2 linked regions of the Macaca mulatta genome follow. The main gene of each other region encodes a partner of the protein of the gene in region 2 in a complex. Links are inferred from orthologs where the notes say so. Each region holds a gene or a part of one and is shown on either strand. Other genes may lie near its edges. The genes, in order: POLR1H and UBTF.

The links.
Region 1: UBTF (region 2) and POLR1H share a complex: the UniProt entries of both Homo sapiens proteins name them as parts of the pol I pre-initiation complex. The link is inferred for Macaca mulatta from reciprocal best matches to the Homo sapiens genes UBTF and POLR1H.

What each region holds. Positions count from the first base shown.
Region 1 is NC_133409.1:152,983,447-152,987,816, forward strand, and holds the start of POLR1H (DNA-directed RNA polymerase I subunit RPA12), read right to left. Parts: upstream 2,895-4,370; coding exon 2,750-2,894; intron 2,504-2,749; coding exon 2,403-2,503; intron 2,196-2,402; coding exon 2,086-2,195; intron 1-2,085. UniProt on the Homo sapiens protein: Core component of RNA polymerase I (Pol I), a DNA-dependent RNA polymerase which synthesizes ribosomal RNA precursors using the four ribonucleoside triphosphates as substrates. Can mediate Pol I proofreading of the nascent RNA transcript.
Region 2 is NC_133421.1:68,578,888-68,581,752, reverse strand, and holds the end of UBTF (nucleolar transcription factor 1), read left to right. Parts: intron 1-656; exon of another isoform or gene 657-887; coding exon 888-935; coding exon of another isoform or gene 936-985; intron 986-1,030; coding exon 1,031-1,102; intron 1,103-1,126; exon of another isoform or gene 1,127-1,166; coding exon of another isoform or gene 1,167-1,203; coding exon 1,204-1,347; intron 1,348-1,435; coding exon 1,436-1,561; 3' UTR 1,562-2,214; downstream 2,215-2,865. UniProt on the Homo sapiens protein: Recognizes the ribosomal RNA gene promoter and activates transcription mediated by RNA polymerase I (Pol I) through cooperative interactions with the transcription factor SL1/TIF-IB complex.

The sequences.
Region 1 (4,370 bases), on a different chromosome or scaffold from region 2:
ACTGATGTCCCTATGAAATGTGACAGTGACACTCTGGTGCCCTTTATACTGTTGCAACAGTCACTGGAAGCATAGGAAATGAGGGACAAAATGTGCAAGGTTGATAGGAGATCCTGTGCATAAATTTGGGAACTGCAAAAGCCTGCCCTTTTTTGTAAAAGTGAACAAGAAAAGAAAGAAATTCAACTCTATAGAAGGGGAATTTGACTGTCTCAGTAGGTAGAAAGAGAGAAAACTCTTTCCTGAGAATTTCTAGCCATAAGCTAGCCCTTACATGGATTTGCAGCTCAAATTCATACTATCTGTCTGCTCCAAAAAACATGAAGCCAAGAATTTATTTAAAGTAATTCCAGCTTGATAGTGCTTCAAGGCACCTAGAAAAGAAACACAAATGCTGAGAATACAACACTTACCCAAGGCCTCAGAGAATTCCTACAGTTCAAGTTCTAAAAAACTCAAATTTATTGTCAAAAATTACAAAACAAAGAAAAAAGCACTATGAGAGAGACAGCAGAAACAGACAGCAGCATCAGACACACAAAATCCACGGATATCAGAATTATGAGACATAGAATATAATAACCACATTTAATATTTTAAATATATAAAGACTAGTAAAAGGAACAATTTAAAATATTATTAAGGAACTGAGAATTATTTAAAAATTGAGATTTGAAAAGTAATTAAATAGAACTCAAAATAATAACAATAGTAAAAAATAATAATACTTGAAATAAACTGAAGACAGAATTAGTGACATGGAAGAGGAACCTGAAGAAATTACTCAGAAGGTGGCATAAAGAGAAAAGCGATTGAAAATATGAAAAGAAGGCGAGAGAAATGGAGGACAGAAGAGAGAAATCTCATTCTAGTAACTAATTAGAGGTCCAGAATGTGAGGACTGAGAACATGGGGGAAAGAGAATATTAAAAGAGATGATGGCTGATAATTTTCCAAGGTTGATGAAAAAAAAAATCCACTCTAGGCCAGGCGCAGTGGCTCACACCTGTAATCCCAGCACTTGGGGAGGCCGAGGCGGGTGGATCACAAGGTCAGGAGATCGAGATCATCCTGGCTAACACAGTGAAATCTTGTCTCTACTAAAAAACACAAAAAATTAGCCGGGCGTGGTGGCGGGCACCTGTAGTCCCAGCTATTCAGGAGGCTGAGGCAGGAGAATGGCATGAACCCGGGAGGCGGAGCTTGCAGTGAGCGGAGAACACACCACTGCACTCCAGCCTGGGAGACAGAGCGAGACTCCGTTTCAAAAAAAAAAACAAAAAACAACAATGCACTCTCAGTTTCAGAAAGTCCAACAAATCCCAAACAGAATAAAAGAAAATCACATTTTGATATACTATAGTGACTGCAGAACACCAAAGACAAAGATGAGGTCTTAAAAGCATTCAGAAAGCCCATGTTCTCTAAATCATGTGTGACTAATTCTCTCCAAAGTAAAGCTACCTTGACTGCGGTTGAAGACTGCAGTATAAGACGCTGACCACTAAACAATACTTGCTTCTTCTGGTTTTTTTTATTCATTTCCTTTTAAATATCCTAAAAGAAGGTCAGGCAGGGTGGCTCATGCCTGTAATCCCCAGCACTTTGGGATGCTGAGGTGGGTTGATTGAGCTCAGGAGTTCAAGACCAGCCTGGGAAACAGAGAGAAACCCTATCTCTACTAAAAATACAAAAAACAAAACAAAACAAAAAGCCAGGTGTGGTGGCACGTGCCTGTGGTCCCAAAGCTATTTTGGAGGCTGAGGTGGGAGGATTACCTGAGCCCAGGAGGCGGAGGTTGCAGTGAGCCAAGATTGCCTCACTGCACTCCAGGCTAGGTGACAGAGCAACACCCTGTCCGTAAAAAAAAAAAAAAACCTAAAAGGTTTATTTCACTGGTTACAAAAAGGGTTAAAAAAGTGTAATTTAAAAAAATAAAAACTACAAATCTCCCTCTTACCAGAACTGCACAGAAATAAGGGATGGGACGAAAGGACACAGCCGTTTAGTACAAAAAAATAAATCACTGGATTTGTTTATTAGTTAGCAAACAGACTGAGCAAAGGGAGGGGAAAGGATACCCACTTGCAGTTGGTACAGGTGTAGAAGACAGTTTGCCCTTCATCGGCTGAACGCATCTGTCTGGTGTGGTATGCCATTCCTTCATGACCACATCGAGGGCAGCGCCTGTCAACCTGGGAAGAAACTGGTGGGTTATGGAGGCCAGGTCATATCATACCCTTACTTCCCACAGGAATCAGGCGATCACGCCTCTCAAACATCGATGCTTTACATCTTTTCCCACTTGGAATTGGGCACAAAACTCTCCAGATCTCTGCAATCACTCCTCCATTTCTTTCCTACCCACCTTATGGAGCCAGTTCTTGATCTCATTAACTTACCACAGGTCCCTGGCACTCAGGCCCTTCCTCCACCGACATAGGCATGGCTGTCCCCAGTTGGTGGAACACAACTGAAGTCTTCACAACCTTCCCCTCAAAGTCTGCACAGGCAAGTAAGACGGGTTATGGAGACAACCTGAGGGAGCTGACACCGGAAACTTCCCCTCTCCCCTGGCTGGTTAGGCCAGGAGGCCCTATATCCTTTCCCTCAGTTTTCATCGCTGAACCAAATGTACAACTGCCTGATGTCCTGCTCTAGGATCCCCTTCTCAACCCAACCGATCTTGAGTTCCCCAAGCTTCCGATCCTGGGCCCTCCGCCAGGACCCCTGTGTACAAGCCTCTCACCCCGAACGTTGATGTTGAAGCCACAGCGAGTACAGGTGACCGTATCCTGAGCCCCGGGCAGAGGCAGGACCGAGCCGCAATCTGAACAGAAATCCAAGTCCGACTGAAAGCTGGAGCAAGTACCGGCGAGGTCCATGACAGACATGCAGTCGGGTCTGAGGAGGGAGTTAGAAGTTTATTAACAAAAGAGAGAAGAGTTCCTGCCCCAGAGGTGGTAACTATTCCGTCCCAGGACGTAGGAGTATATAACCCGAGTCCTCCTCCCACGCACGCCTCCTGCCTCTGCGACCAAGGAGCCGAAACGCCCGGAACTCCCAGACAGCGTCGGGTACTAAAAGGACTTGGAACCCTTTCCTGGGGCCGGCGAGAGGAGCTGGCCAACTCCGTGGGCTAGAGCGCCAGCTCTGCGCCCGCGGCGGGGCAGCGAGCTAGAGCCGGCTAGAGCGTCACGCTTTCACGCTGACGATTGGCTGTGACGTCATAATTAATTGCGTACCGTGTCTCGGAAGCCTTAGAGATGGAGAGTCACCACTTCTAAGGGAGGTTGGGGCTCAACTTTCAGGCTGGTACTGAGACGTTGAGCACAAAATTGGTAACCAATGCTGCGCTTCCAGCAAATTTTCCCACCAGCACCGAATCCTGGGATATTTATTCTCTGTTTCACATCCTACGGGAACCCAATCGCGGGGGAATATCCTCCTGAAAACCGTACTTTGCTGAATAATGACTTCTTTGGATTAGAGAACTACAACTCCCCTGGGTCCTGAGCTGGTATTTCCCTTTTGCGGCTGCACAGTAGTTAAAAACAAAGCTAAGTGTTCTGGCATGTATAGTTCTAGCGTTCCTTGGGTCCCGCTGGCGAGCGTGGGCTTTCTGCAGAGCGCAGCCGGCCTGTGTGCTTTGCGGACGGTTCACCGCGCTTGGAAAGGGGTGAGTCGGCTTCTTGAGGGACAGCAAGTGGTGAGGGTGAAGGCCAGAGGAATCCTTAGTCCCACGGGACGAAAGGAAGCAGGGATGAAGTGGGACACTTGAGAAGGGGCTCAGGACTTTGGAGGTGGTAGAACAGAAGAGCTTGGGGCTTCCCCTCCTTCGACTCCTGCCAGATAAGTGAGGCTAGCAGTAGTCAAGAAGCTCATTAAGTAGGATTTCATAAGACTTAGGTCGAGTTTGGCTTTTAGTTGTGCCTGCCGCTTATCGAACTCTTAATTCATTATTCGTCATCCATTAAGTGGACAGCTGACATTTCCCTGATCTTTTATAAAACATGGGAATAAGTTTCTTTCGGAAATCTTGCTATTTTCGTTACTCTGTAACTTATATTCGAAGTAGAAACTTTCCCTGAAGGGGCAGCTTGTCGTTGTTTACTAGTTTCCTGCTAGTCCTCCCACCACCACCTACTCTGATAGCTGTGCTAAGTTCCTTCATATGAAAGTTCTGGAGCCATCACTATTTTGTCCTGTGAAGGACACAAGCTGTAGTCTTTTCGCTGGGAGAGGCTCCCACCTGCCTTTCTCTGTGATAATGGAGAGAACACCATAGTTAAAGGGTTAAAACTCAGCAAACTGCTGAAGAGTGACAAGCCCTATCACTTAACTGTGAAATTGCTTGTTATTCTGTCTGA
Region 2 (2,865 bases):
CTCTGATAGGAGCTTCCATTTGTGTAGAGCAATAGGGTGAATGTGAAAACCAACAGTCTTAGTGGTTTATAGAAGGACTCTGGGCATCAGAAGCAGAAATACTAGAGCTTGGGCCAGTGCAGTGGCTCACGCCTGTAATCCTAGCACTTTGGGAGCCCAAGGTATGAAGGATCACTTGAGGCCAGGAGTTCAAGACCATCCTGGGCAACATAGTGAGACTGCTGTCTCTACAAAAATGATTATAAGGTAGCATGGTGTGGTGGCACACACCTGTAGTCCCAGCTACTCTGGAGGCTGAGTTGGAAGGCTCACTTGAGCCTGAGAAGGCCAAGTCGTGAGCTGAGATTGTGCCACTGCACTCCAGCCTGGGTGACACAGGACACAGAGCAAGACCCTGTTTCAAAAAAAAATTGGAGGCCGGGCGCGGTGGCTCACGCCTGTAATCCCAGCACTTTGGGAGGCCGAGGCGGGCGGATCACAAGGTCAGGAGATCGAGACCACGGTGAAACCCCGTCTCTACTAAAAATACAAAAAATTAGCCGGGCGCGGTTGTGGGCGCCTGTAGTCCCAGCTACTCGGGAGGCTGAGGCAGGAGAATGGCGTGAACCCAGGAGGCGGAGCTTGCAGTGAGCCGAGATCGCGCCACTGCACTCCAGCCTGGGCTGGGTGACAGAGCGAGACTCCGTCTCAAAAAAAAAAAAAAAAATTGGAGCTGTGTTCTCAGATCACAGGGGCTCTCTGCAGAGACCTAAAATCTAGGGAGCCTGGGAGGGATAAGATGGGGTGATGATATATAAATGCTCAGCCCACTGCCTAGCACTGGGCCAGCATGCTCAGTCAGCAGTAGTTGGCTATATTCCAACCCTTGCCACCTCTGTCTCCCCCAGAGCCTGTCTCCCCAGGACCGTGCAGCATATAAAGAGTACATCTCCAACGTGAGTCTGGGAGCAGAGCAGCAGTGGGGTAGGGGTGGGGGGATTCAGGGGTGTCTGGAACTCACGGCTGCCACCTTCGTGTCCCCATCCTGCAGAAACGTAAGAGCATGACCAAGCTGCGAGGCCCAAACCCCAAATCCAGCCGGACTACTCTGCAGTCCAAGTCGGTAAGGAGCCCCTGCCAGATGCAGGGGCATGGGGCGGGTGGGACTGCCTGGAATGGCTGGGCAGAGACCAGAGACCACTGATGTGCCTCTGTCCCTCCAAGGAGTCCGAGGAGGATGATGAAGAGGATGAGGATGATGAGGATGAGGATGAAGAAGAGGAAGATGATGAGAATGGGGACTCCTCTGAAGATGGCGGCGACTCCTCCGAGTCCAGCAGCGAAGACGAGAGCGAGGATGGGGATGAGGTGGGGCAGACAGGGCACAGTGGGAGGGGAGGGGATTCCTGCCAGGATGGTCACCTGATGACTCTCCACATCCTTTCTCACCCCCCAGAATGAAGAGGATGATGAGGACGAAGATGATGACGAGGATGACGATGAGGATGAAGACAACGAGTCCGAGGGCAGCAGCTCCAGCTCCTCCTCCTCAGGGGACTCCTCAGACTCTGACTCCAACTGAGGCTCAGCCCCACCCCAGGGCAGCCAGGGAGAGCCCAGGAGCTCCCCTCCCCAACTGACCACCTTTGTTTCTCCCCCATGTTCTGTCCCCTGCCCCCCTGGCATCCCCCACTTTCTTTCTTTCTTTTTAAAAAAAAAAAAAATACGGTGGGGGTAGGGGGCTGGAGGAGCCCAGGCCAGGACTCTGCAGCCTCAGAGACATCAGCCCTTGGGGGTCCTCCTCCAGGGACAGCAACCATCAGACTAAGCCAGCACCGGACCAGCCTGGCCCACCCCTGTGACTTCTCTGCACTTGCAGTTCCGGCATGGACAGTGTACCGGAGAGTGGGGGTGGGGGGGGTCCCAAAGAGTTCAACGAGGCCCTCCACACCTGCGGCCCAATCCAAGGTGGGGTGGAAGCTTGGGGAAGACGCATTCCTTCCCAGAGGGGCCTGCCACCTGGACCCCTGCATTGGAACTGGAGGCAGGGAATGTGGGGAGAGGAGGGCTGGTGCCTTCGAGAAAACAGGCGCTGCCCTGGTGGCCCTCTCCCCTGCCCCCTGCAGGAAGGAGCTGCCTGGACCCATTCATGGGGGAGGGGGCAGAAGTGTTTTTTATATATGTGTATATATTTTTTTTTAAGCTCTGAGCTGTCAACGAGACGTTTCCTACCGATCTCGGCTGCCGTCTCTGTTGTCATTTCTGGGAGAGGGAGGGTTTAGGGGTAGGTTTGGAACCTTTTAAAAATGGTCTTGATGTGTGTGGAAGAGAGTATGTGTATGTGTGTTCCTGTACATAGCATGGGTGCAGCTGTGGATGTGTGCAAAAGAGAGTGTGTGTGTGTGTAAGGGGGTCTGTCCTAGAGCCCACATCAGTTTGTTGTGAATCTGGAAAAAGGGTCGGTGAGAGCCGGGAGATGTTGACCCTGGTGGGAGCGGACTGAGGCTATCCCATTCTCCACATCCTCTGTTTTGCCCAGTCTCTGATTCCACTGGGGGAGTGTGCCGAAGCCACTCTAGGATGCTTCCCAGACCAGGCTCCCTCTGCCAGGGTCACATGCATCCGAGCTGCTGGTCTCCATTGTCCAGCAGGAAGGCTTCCGGAAAGACAGGCAAGATGGTGTGAAGCTTAAAGCTTGTATTTGGTGGAAAAGGCCTCCCCTGCTCATCTGAGGGGCCAAGCCTGGCCACCCTAGGCTCAGAACCTGGGCTTCAAGAAATGTGCTGGGAGCTCCTATCTTACACATCCCTTCAGCTTTCCTTAAATCCTCCCGCCACCCCCTATTTCCTTTAATTTCTCAGGTCTGCTCCCTCCTCCCCCAACCCC